Linked DNA regions of Macaca fascicularis. The protein of the gene in region 1 interacts with the protein of each later gene in a pairwise test. Links are inferred from orthologs where the notes say so. Each region holds a gene or a part of one and is shown on either strand. Other genes may lie near its edges.

Region 1 (6,071 bases):
CCCCACTATCTATCTACCCCTACAATGTTTTTTTTTTTTTTTTTTGAGATGGAGTCTTGCTTTGTCACCCAGGTTGGACTGCATGCACCACCACGCCTGGTTAATTTTTTGTATTTTTAATAGAGACGGGGTTTCACCATGTTGGCCAGGCTGGTCTCAAACTCCTGACCTCAAGTGATCCACCCACCTCAGCCTCCCAAAGTGCTTGGATTACAGGCATGAGCCACCACGCCCAGCCCACAATCTGTTGTTAAAATGCCAACCAGAGTGACTGTTTTAAAACCTAAACCAAATCATGGTATTCCTCTGCTCAAACTCTTAATAGCCCACTCAGAGTAAAATGCAGAGTACCCACAATGCCTTATGGGACCTCCATTACCTCTCTGATTTCTTTCCTTTTCCTCTTGATGATAGATCCCAACACTACTGGCCTCCTTGCCTTCAATACTAGGGCCTTTGCATTTGTATTTCCTAGAATAATTTTGCTCTAGACATCTGCATAGCTCACACTCACTTACCTCCTTTATATCTTTTCCTCAAATTTAATTTTCTTGGTGAAAATATCCTTGACCACCTACCTACATCCAATTAAGTCATTCTTTCTCCTTTTACCCTTTTTTATTTTTTACATAGCATTTATCTTCTTCTAATATACTATATAATATACTTATGTGTATACTGTCTTTCCCTACTAGGATGTATGTTCCATGAAGGAAAAGGTATTTGTTGTGTTTACTATATTTTGAATGCCTAGAAAGTGCCTGCACATGGTAGATGCTCAATATATATATATTTTTGTTAACTAAATAATACCAAGATAGGCCAATCTGCTGAAAATAACGAAGGACATTTTGCATGAGATTTACTGGTTTTACTGCTTTGTACCAAAAAGAAATGCTTAAAAAATAAAATTGGATTACTTAGCAAATAGCTTAAAGGGAAAGAATCTGCAAGACAATCATATCCCAAATTAAAGAATATTGTATATATACTCCATTACATTTATGCAATAAAGGTTTAAACTGTAACATTAATATCTACAATTGGAAAAGACAATACTTACCTTTGTAGTTAGGTCCTGTTCTGCAGGAAGTGTCTCTCTTAAGGCACGCAGACCATGTTTAACTAGTTCATTTAAATTGCCTATATGTAATAAATCAACAATTATTTCTTAATTTCATTGTTAGGCTTCTGTTATTGATCAAATCTACAGTCTGAAATTGTGGTTTTTAGTTACACACTAAATTTATCACAGTAAAAACAGCCAAGTTTAATGCTAGTCATACAATCTTTTAATAGCATTCTGTGACATTGCTGATCATTATTTAATGAGAGGACTCATTATTTCTGTTACAATTTTGATCTTCTCTTTTGCTAGGTCAAATCAAAATCCCGACAACAAATTATACAACTCCAAGTTTTGTAGAATGTGTTCTGTAGAATCCTAGTCCCTATATTTGCTCATTGTAAAAAGGAATCTCCAACTTATTCTATGTGGCCAGTATTACTGATACCAAGAATAAAGACATCACAAGAAAAGAAAACTACAGACCCAATATAGATGCAAAAAATAATAACAATAATAAAAAAATAAAACCCTCAACAAAAACTACAAATGGAACCTGGCAACATATTAAAAAATTATATACCATAGACAAGCGAGATTTATCCCAAGAATGATAAGTTAGTTTAACAACTGAAAGTCAGTGTAACACACGTTAACAGAAGGGGGAAACCTGCATAATCACCTCAAGAGATGCATAAAAAGCATGTGATAAAACCTAAAATCCTTGCATAATAAAAACACAAAACTAGTAATTGAAAGCAACCTCTTATAGAGGGCATCTACAAAAAGCTGACAGGTAACATCATTTTTGTTTTTGAGACGTAGTCTCGCTCTGTCGCCTAGGCTGGAGTGCAGTGGGGCAGTCTCGGCTCACTGCAAGCTCTGCCTCCCGGGTTCATGCCATTCTCCTGCCTCAGCCTCCCGAGTAGCTGGGACTACAAGTGCCCACCACCACGCCCGGCTAATTTTTTGTATTTTTAGTGGAGACGGGGTTTCGCCGTGTTAGCCAGGATGGTCTCGATCTCCTGACCTCGTGATCCACCTGCCTTGGCCTCCCAAAGTGCTGGGATTACAGGCGTGAGGCACCACGCCCGGCCAGGTAACATCATTCTTAATAGTGAATGACTAAAAGCTTTTCCCTTAAGTTAAGGAACAAAGAAAAGAATGTTTGTTCATGCAACTTCTATTCATCATTAGTACCAGAGGTTCCAGCCAGGGCAATTAGAAAGGAGAAAGTAAAACTATCTCTATTCCCAGATGACACGATCTCAGGAATCTATAAAAAAATGACTAGAACTAATAAACGAGTTCAGCAAGATTGCAAGATATAAGATTGATATACAAAAATCAACTGTATTTCTACGTAGTTGCAATGAATAATATGCAATGAAATTAAGAACACAATTCTGTTCACAACAGCACCAAAAATAATAAAATACTTATAACACAAATATGATTTGTACATGGAAAACTACAAAACATCAGTGAAAGAATTAAATACCTGGCCGGGTGCAGTGGCTCATGCCTGTAATCCCAGCACTTAGGGAGGCCGAGGCAGGTGGATCACCTGAGGTTGGGAGTTTAAGACCAGCCTGACCAACAACATGGAGAAACTCTGACTCTACTAAAAATATGAAATTAGCTGGGCGTGGTGGCGAGTCTGTAATCCCAGCTACTCAGGAGGCTGAGGCAAGAGAATTGCTTGAACCCGGGAGGCAGAGGTTGCAATGAGCCAAGATTGTGCCATTGCACTCCAGCCTGGGCAACAAGAAGAGCGAAACCCCGTCTCAAGAAAAAAAAGAAAAAAATAATTAAATACCTAAATAAATGAAGATATTCCATGTTCATGGATCAGATGCCTTGTATCATTTAAGTAACAGTACTCCCCAAAATTATCTATGGATTTATTGCAATCTTTAGGAATTTCCTATGCAGGTTGAAATGTGCTAGGCAGAGGGTGCCGATATGAGCAGTTCTGAATCAAACTGGACACTGAGTTTCCAATGAGCTTCCCTGGGCAGAAACGTCACATACATATTGCTGCAAGTGTACTCTGTGACTCCTTCTGGGAAGGAAAGAGCATAAGAAAGCCTGCACATAGATTCCTCTGGACTGTATTTTTCCTTAATGATCCACCTATGTATTGTTATTTTATTGTTATAAGTCTTAACCTGGGAGTACAACCATATGCTGAGTGCTTTAAGTCCTAGCAAATCTCCCAATTTAGGGGTAACCTTGGGGACCCCAATCCATTTACCATAATTTAAAATGTTAAACTTTAAGCAAGCATTTACCAAGCTTATTTGTCCAAGGAATCCTCTTTTCCCAAAGTTAAACCTATTGTCATCCTACAACAGTTTGCTTTGAGTAATGTCAATTAAACTATTTTTCTCTGCATTCACTAAACCCCAAATATTTCCTCCAAAGAATGCTATGTCACCAGAAAACAGATAAGATGACAAAGAAATGTAAAACCCAATATCCTCCTTCCAATGCAAAGCAAAGCAAAGCACTTGAAAACCTGCCCTGTCATAATATCTTACCTCTTTTACCTTCTTTTCCCTCAGCTACACTGCCTTTTTATTTCTTGTTTATGGACTACTAATGCAGAAATGTCTGTGTGGCTTAAAATAAGACTCACAGAAAACTAAAAGTGAACAGAGCTTACAACTGGCAGGTAGTATAGTGGTTCTCCACTCTCCACTCCACAGGGCACACTTCTGACCAACTGAATCAAGAATTTTCAAGGTTGGGAACACATTTATATTTTGAAAAAGTTCTAGTCGTGATTGAAACTACGGTATCAATTTTAACTTCTGGCGGTAACCAGAAGTTGAAGTTAGTATATGTGACAGAAACAAACTCTTCTGGGGCTTAATTTTAAAAAAAAATTCTTTCTGTAAGACTGATAGTTTTATGTAGTTAGGATACTATATTTATTTACTATATAGACTGGAAGAGGCCAAAAAAAAAAAAAAAAAGCAAGGCTATCACTTACACTCCATAAATTCAGACATATGTCTCTCCAAGTAAGTACGAGCTGACTGGGATCGGGCTCCAATGGACATGGCTCTGCAGTCAAAATAGTTAGCAGATGGACAGGTTTGGAAAATGTGAGGGCCCATATCCTACAAATAGAAATAAATACACCACATAATTATTTATGTTGGTTGAACTAAAATTTATAAAAATTTCTAGTTAATAAAAAAAATCATTAACATATAACAATATTCAATGAACTTACATCATAACCGGCAATAAGCAGCCCAACACCATATGGTCTCCGGCCATATCGTTGTGTTGGTATCTGGGTCTCTTAGACTGGTTAAAGAGCTTGTTTTAACAAGGAATGAAGTACTATCTTTATTTTCAAATTATACATTATTAACAAAGGTATCTGGCTTATTCCTTAATTGTTATATAATCCACCAGAGAAATAACGCAAAAGGACACTATTTCTTTGGCCTAATATAAAATGTTTGCCTTTCTACCAAATCTAAGAAAGAGTGCCAACAAAATGATTTCTTCCCATGTAAAACCTGATTTGTTTTGGATACAAGGGGTCTAGGATTTCTTGGGACATCTAGAACCATTAGGAAACTTTAAATCCCCTCTAAAAAGATGCTTAATTTTCCTGAAGTTGGGCTTATCTATGTCTAGCAAATATCAATTGCTTATAAAGGCTAATGAAAGAGCAACCCAATTTGTTGTTTTAAAGTTTTCACAATCTTACCTATGTCATGTTATTATCATATTCCTAATAATTAACAGAAGTATCAAAACCCTTCAAAGTTCATATCCATAAATGCTAACATAAAAAGGATACTGCTTCCAATTAGAGATACAAGACGAGACACAGGCAGTGGTCTATCAAATACAAATCTGGAATCCAAACACTCCTGACGCATAAAATTACTAAAAAAGAAACAAAGTTTAGTAATTGCAGATTATAGACAACTATTCCAATCTAAATCGTTTGATTTCACTTCTCATTATTCCAAGTGTTTACATGGATCACATCCATATAAGACAGACAGAAGGTAAGAAAGACATGCCTGCAAGGGTGCGTTTTTGTGCCAAACTCTGGAGCCACATAAGGTTTTTAAAAAATACTGAAATATTTTTTAGCTCTAGAGAATCTTTGTCTCACAGCACTTATAGAACAGAGAAGGCTGAACAAGAGAAAAAGAGCAACCTCTCTTCTCTTATCCTTCCCACTGTCAGCAATCTTAATTCTAGATCTTGAACCAGCAAAAAGATTATCTACTCTGTCCTTTTTTCTTGAAAGCAGACTAACATTTCCCCAAAAAAGCAACTATAAGAAATGGAAACCACAGCAGAGGGCATCTTTACGTGTTCCTGCCACTGTTACTTCTATTCATAAGAAGTACTCTAGAGGAGATAGTGGACACTAGCCGCTGAGTCTCACTGTTAAATCTGATGAAATTCAAGCAAGGTTAACACTGGGGAGAAGAGAATTCATGCCTATAAATAAGATCAACAAGAAATGGATATGCTCCTTTCTTTCAATGTTGCTTTGTCCAGTATATGTGTATGTCACATCTGATCATCACATGGTTGACTACAGGAACCAAGCTATTTGTTCAGTACTTGTATGCAAGTCCATTTCCCAATGCTGTCTAAAAGTAAACTGCCCAATATCGCATGCAATAATCACATGTGGCTATGGAGCCCTTGAAAAGAAGCTAGACTGAATTCAGAAGTACAAAATAACATACCAAATTTCAAAGACTTAGTACCTAAAAACGTGCAATAACTCATTAATAAAGTTTTTATATTGATTATGTGTTGGCATGGCAATATTTTATAGATTGAATTAAATAAAATGTTTGATAATACATTTTCCATTTTGAAGAGTAGGTGGAAACTCTTAAGGCTGTCATATTGCTGACTTAGAGTAAGGGACTGGCTGAATAACTTGAAATTCTTTCCTTCTTTTTTTTTTTTTATACTGAGTTTCACTCTTGTCGCCCAGGCTGGAGTA
Region 2 (5,975 bases), on another chromosome or scaffold:
CTGAGTACCCAGGTACCCTGGCCATCCACTGGGCATTGAAGAAAGGGCTTGATCAGTAGATTGAGTGTCCTCTCCTCTATCCCTTACCAACCGGCCCCATCCCATCTTCTAAAGCAGTCATTTCTATTCCAAGTCGTCCAGGTAACTCAGCCAGGGATCAAGTCCACGTGGTTCTTGGGTTGATTTGAGTCCTGTACTTAGAGGAGGGTAGGTAACTGCTCCTTCTCAGGAGCTCAGGGAGAAACTGGACCCTCGGCCCCACAGCCCAAAAAAGGGAATGACCTTCCTAGTGAAGGAGGCAGTGAAGGTGTAGATGGGCTCTTGGGTGGCAGCATTGGTGAAGGTCACCCAGCCCACCTCATAGTCAAGAGACACCCGCACCTGCCGGGGCTGCTCCTTCAGGGTCAGCCGTGTGGGAAAGGAGCCCAGAGCCGAGACGAAGCCCCAGGCCAGTCTCACAGCCCACACGCCCTCCTCTGGCCGCAGTCGAAGCTCTCCCTTCCGCTGCACATCCTCACTCACCACGCCCACGGTGCAACTGCCCCCGTGTGCCAGGTCTATACTGACCACCCACGTGTGTCTCCCCCCTGTGATGCCAGTGTGGGCCAGAACACAGGTGGCCCGGTCAAAACGCTGGGGATTGTCTGGCGAGTTCTGCCATTTGTAGGAGAACTGAGCCCGCTGGCGGTCCTCGGACAAGAGGAGCTTGGGGTGGGAAGTCTGAGGGTCTAGAGAAATGTGAGCTGTGGGGATAACCAAAAGGGACAGATGTCAGCAGACATGCCATCACCTCCGAGGAAGGCCTAGAAACTCCCCCTGGGCCCCACCTGTTAGTGTTATTATTACCAAAAACAGGTCTAGTGCCTACATGGACCAACAGTGTGGCATCACCTGGGAACTTGTTTGATATACACTCTCAGAATCTGCATCCTAACAAGATGCCCAGGTGATTCGTGCACGTGTAAAGCCTGAAAAGCCTGCCTCAGAGGATGTGAAAGCTCTCGTTTAGTTCCATGTGGTCCTTGGGAAAGCTCTTCTGCTCATCGTAAATTGGTTAGTTTCCACAGCTGTGTGTGCCAGCTCGGCTCTCCTGGGGCCAATACACCACATTCTCCCCTCCTCCTGTCTCTATCCCGGAGTGCAGAGACATTTCTCCCTTCAGTCCAAACTTCATGATTCCTCCCTGCTTTCCTCCCAGGGCACTGGTGACTCATTTATAGTCTTCCCTCTTGGCAGGCTCTCTGGCTCACGCCTGGGTTATTCACTCTGCCTCAGTAATTCTGAAACTGTCAGAGTCTGAGGACCACTTTCTAACACCAAAAGCTGCTGCAGAGCTTTGCATTTTGTTACTTTTAGTATTCATAAATTGAGAAGCTTCCATAAATTTAGGCCCATCCATGGGTTAGAGAACCCCCTCCAACAACTCTGTGACTCCCAGGTTCTTAGGCTGGTTGATTGAGAAACGACAGCCTTGAAGGGGTCCCTTCTGTTCATTTCTTTCCCACCCACAGGCCACCCTCCTTCTGTCATCTGTGAAATGACATCTGAGAGGAAGCAGGGGTTCTTCACAGTTCTAAAGATGTGATTATGAACCCAGATCAAAGTCCCCTTTATGCAGAAAGCATTCCCAAATGGACCTTATCCCATTCTGTGTTAATCTTTCTATCTACTCAGCATGTGCAGCTCAGGATGTGAGCTTTGTACCACGAATGTAGTATGTGTATGTGCTTGTCCTTTCTTCATGGTTCTCCTGAGAGCCTTACAAAGAATGTGACACACACCCACACATATATACACACACGTATTCTATACAAGCACATATGTGCATATGTAATATCTATGATGTGCATATGTATGCATGGGTGTATATTATGACTATTGTAGTGCCCAGATAGAATCCTGCAAAATTGTCTCTCCTTTTCAAGGACTTCTCATTCTCTCCCATCCTGACATAGGCTGCTTACCTGGCTCATAGTCCAACTCAAAGTGTAGTTTTTCTGTAAAGAAAATAAACCAGGATGAGATTTTATTAGTTTTACAAAACCATCAGACACTTAATGACGAGGAAACTGAGGCCCAGAAGAGGGAAGCGACAACAAGAAGAATGGAAGCTGGAATCCTCTAGGCCAGTGGTTCCAAGCTTGCATCAGAATCATCTGGAGCACTTTTGCTAAAACACGCCTGTTTCAGATTCAGGTGCTCTGGGGTGAAGCTGAACATCTGTATTTGTAACAAGTTCCTGGGCAATGCTGCTGCTGCTGGGAACCCCACTGCCCCAGCCCTGAGCAAACAGGGACCATGTCTGCCTTGCTCACCTCTGTACCCGCAGAGCCCAGGACATAGTAAATGCTGAAGAAATATCAGCTTAATGAATAGAGAAATGGGTTCATTTATTTATTATTCCACTTGGAAATAATTTTGGGGAGAGTCAAAGGTCAGTCTTTGATTAGAGTAAAATTTCTCTCACTGCCAGGCCACTGGAAGTATTTGCAGGAAATGGACTTATGGGAAAAGTCCTTCTAGGGTGACATCACTGTGGGTGAGTCATTTAAAAATTGGTGTCATCATTCATTCTGTCACAGTTAGTGAGGAGGTGGTTGGCAGAGAGCCATATTCCATATCCCATTCCTGACTCTCGTTCCAAACCCTCTCCCGCCCCTTACCACCACTCCCTGTTCCGGAAAAGGAAATGGAGCACAGTCCCCACAGGACTGTCCAACTCTGAGAGCCAGACTTACAGAAGGAAAGTGAGAAGGAGGGAGGGACGGGCCAGCTACCACAGGGTCAAGATAAATACTGTGGCTGGCTATTAATTAACAATGCTCATCATCAAAAACTTATCACGTATTACAAATGTTGCTGTGGGATTTTTAAATTTATTAAGAATGATATACTGTTAATCATTATCTTTCATATTTCTTTTTTTTTTTTTTTTTTTTTTTTTTTGAGACGGAGTCTGGCTCTGTCGTCCAGGCTGGAGTACAGTGGCCGGATCTCAGCTCACTGCAAGCTCCGCCTCCCGGGTTTACGCCATTCTCCTGCCTCAGCCTCCCGAGTAGCTGGGACTGCAGGCGCCCGCCACCTCGCCCGGCTAGTTTTTGTATTTTTTGGTAGAGACGGGGTTTCACCGTGTTAGCCAGGATGGTCTCGATCTCCTGACCTCGTGATTCGCCCGTCTCGGCCTCCCAAAGTGCTGGGATTACAGGCTTTATCTTTCATATTTCTTAATGACTACTGATCAGATTTGTTGAATTATTTTAAGATCAGTTTAACTTTTTCACCAGAAATATTCACCTTTATTCTCTTTCTTCATCGTCACAGTATCCTAATAAGCAGATTTTATAAAAATCTGCAAATAAGAAAATCAAGGCACAGGAACGAATAAACCTTGCTAAAGTCACACCTTTCAGCAGTGGAGCGTGGAGTCCACTCCTAAACCCGGGCTTCATGGCCACCTGTGCTCTGTGGAGGCCTGGGATTCTCTTACCCAGAAACATCTTCATCTCCCTCTGTAGTGGGAGGGCCTGCTGGGGAAAGTCCCGAATCCTCTGGCCCAGCTCTGGGGACACAGCCACTGGTTTCCGGCACTTTCTGGTTTCACATCTAGGGGCACAGAAATGATTGGGTCTGGGAATTATCATCCTTAATAATGTCTCCAGACTCAGCCGGTCATCTTCTAAAATGGCATGAAGGTGCTAGTTCCCGCAGGCAGACATACTTCCTATGGATGAATCCCACTGCCCATTTTTGGGCATCTATGGGTATACCTGAGAAGGCATTTGGGTATATAGAGGTTTATACATAAATTTACATTCTTAAATGAGAATGTTATATACTTGTGTGGCAATAACTAGGCATGCGGTACATGCGTGTATATTTATATGGAAAAAGAAAAGAGAGAAATTATATTGCTTACCTTATTAGAGTGCTTCTGATATCCTAGGAGAAAGAGAAACCAGGGATTCAGTTTCCAGCTTCTCCTTTCCATTTTTTCTTTTTTAAATTTTTATTTTATTTATTTATTTTTTGTTTGTTTGTTTGAGAAAGGGTCTCACTCTGGTGCCCAGGCTGGAATACAGTGGCGTGATCACAGCTCACTGCAGCCTCAACCTCCTGGGCTCAAGGGATCCTCCCACCTCAGCATCCTGAGTAGCTGGGACTACAAGGGTGTGCACCATGCCTGGCTAATTTTTTTTTTTTTTTTGGGGGGTAGAGATGGGATTTTGTTATGTTGCCCAGGTACCTCCCACTTTTCTTATGACTGGAAAATACAAAATACATTTCTAGCCCTGAACAGGAAAAGGATACCAGATGTGTAGAGTCACAGAGCATTAGGACTCACCCACCTCTGGGGATCAGAGCCCAAAGCCTTTATTTTTTAGATACAGATGATGAGGTGACCTTCCCCTGCTCATTAGAGGCAAAGTAAGTCTCATACCAAGGTCTCCTGTTTCTCAGTCCTGAGGGCATCCTTCTAAGTCATGCTGCCTATCCAATACCTTATGGGGACCCCAATATCTCTCCTCCAGTGTGAGGAAGTGAAATAGACCAGCACAAACTTCCTGACTGGTGGATGGTGACATGTAGGCTATAGAGAATGGTTTGCAATGTACTTAATACTTTTCAAAGTGCTACTTTCACTTCCATCTCACTGTTGGATCCTCACAAAAGCCCTGTGAAATATTTAAGGGAAGTATCCTCCTTTTTTGGCAGATGGTGGGATGGAGAGGTGGAGACCAAAGAGCAAAAAGTGACCAGGGAACACTTGGAAAAGCATGAACCAGAATTGAGACCTTCTGGTCCTCTGACCTACCTCCCATCTGGGATACGGAGATGTGTGAGTCAGGGAGACATGACTTAGGCAAGGCAAAGATACAAGAGTCACAGGACAGCACAGGTGGGGCAGGGTTCAGGTTCAGGCCTCACCGTCAGGAGCTCCCTTGCTGGCCTCTCATTCTTCTCCTCCAGTTCTTCAATAAGAGTACTAAACCGGCAGATCTCTCCAGCAACCAGGAAATCAAATTCATCCTGTTGCTTCAAGATGTCTCCATCCAGGCTCTCCAGTTGTGCTAAGAGGATGCTCTGCTGTTCCTCTAGAAACTTCCTCAGGTGTGCGAACTCAGAAATCACCTGTTGTCTCTTGGTGGACACCTGAGTCTGAGGGGGCAGGAGGAGAGCCCAAGAGAAAGTTTGCTTCCTCCTTCTCCCTCTGCTCCTCTTCCTCCTACCCTGTCCCCAGGTAGATCTGGAACTGTATCATGGTTTCCTCTTCACCTGTCATCCCATTTCAGGGAGCAAGACTCACAGTGCTGTCTCAGCACCATCTGCTGCAGCTTCTAAAAGAGGGTAGGACTTACAGGAGGTGTAGGAGGAGGTGGTGGGGACACCCTACCTCCTGTCTTGTATGAAAAGCACACTATGTGCGCAGCCCTGAGCTACTTTACAGTCACAGTCTCATTTAATACTTACAGTAATTCAATGAGATCATGATGATTTTTACTCTCCATTTTACAGATAAGTAAACTGAAGTTAGAGAGTTGCTTGAGGTCATAGAGTTAGTGTCAGAGTCAGGATTTAAACTCATAATAACTTCAAAGCCCTATAATCTATGTTGCCTCAGTTTCAGGAAGACATTGGACCTTGAGGAAGGGGAGGAACCTGGGGAAGGGGTGATGACTTACCAGGAGGACTTGCATCCTTTTATTTTCTCTTGACTGGATTTCTTGAATCTCCTCTCTCTCTTTTCTTAGACATTTAAGACACTTATGTATTTGTTCCTGGGGAGAAGGAACATAAAATACTCAAGATGGATATTTATTTGTTCAGGGTTGTCTTGTCATCTGAGCCTCTGCCTCCAGGAATGAAGTGGCCCCAGGAGAGGAGTCTCTTCCTTAGCTGACAATCCCCGAGCCTCCACCACCCTGACAGCTTAGTCCCTTTAGGTCTGTTCCTCTTGATTTGTCTCCACGACTTTG

The links. The genes of interacting proteins can lie anywhere in the genome.
Region 2: the proteins of PSMA1 (region 1) and TRIM10 interact in binary tests that used the Homo sapiens proteins (3 or more experiments, as listed by UniProt). The two-hybrid records come from large-scale screens. The link is inferred for Macaca fascicularis from reciprocal best matches to the Homo sapiens genes PSMA1 and TRIM10.

What each region holds. Positions count from the first base shown.
Region 1 is NC_088388.1:51,243,005-51,249,075, reverse strand, and holds part of PSMA1 (proteasome subunit alpha type-1), read right to left. Parts: intron 6,049-6,071; exon of another isoform or gene 6,012-6,048; intron 4,982-6,011; coding exon 4,893-4,981; intron 4,382-4,892; coding exon 4,311-4,381; intron 4,195-4,310; coding exon 4,065-4,194; intron 1,144-4,064; coding exon 1,064-1,143; intron 1-1,063. UniProt on the Homo sapiens protein: Component of the 20S core proteasome complex involved in the proteolytic degradation of most intracellular proteins. This complex plays numerous essential roles within the cell by associating with different regulatory particles.
Region 2 is NC_088378.1:142,514,007-142,519,981, reverse strand, and holds part of TRIM10 (tripartite motif-containing protein 10), read right to left. Parts: intron 5,778-5,975; coding exon 5,682-5,777; intron 5,158-5,681; coding exon 4,927-5,157; intron 3,940-4,926; coding exon 3,917-3,939; intron 3,604-3,916; coding exon 3,488-3,603; intron 1,998-3,487; coding exon 1,965-1,997; intron 744-1,964; coding exon 226-743; 3' UTR 29-225; coding exon of another isoform or gene 1-28. UniProt on the Homo sapiens protein: E3 ligase that plays an essential role in the differentiation and survival of terminal erythroid cells. May directly bind to PTEN and promote its ubiquitination, resulting in its proteasomal degradation and activation of hypertrophic signaling.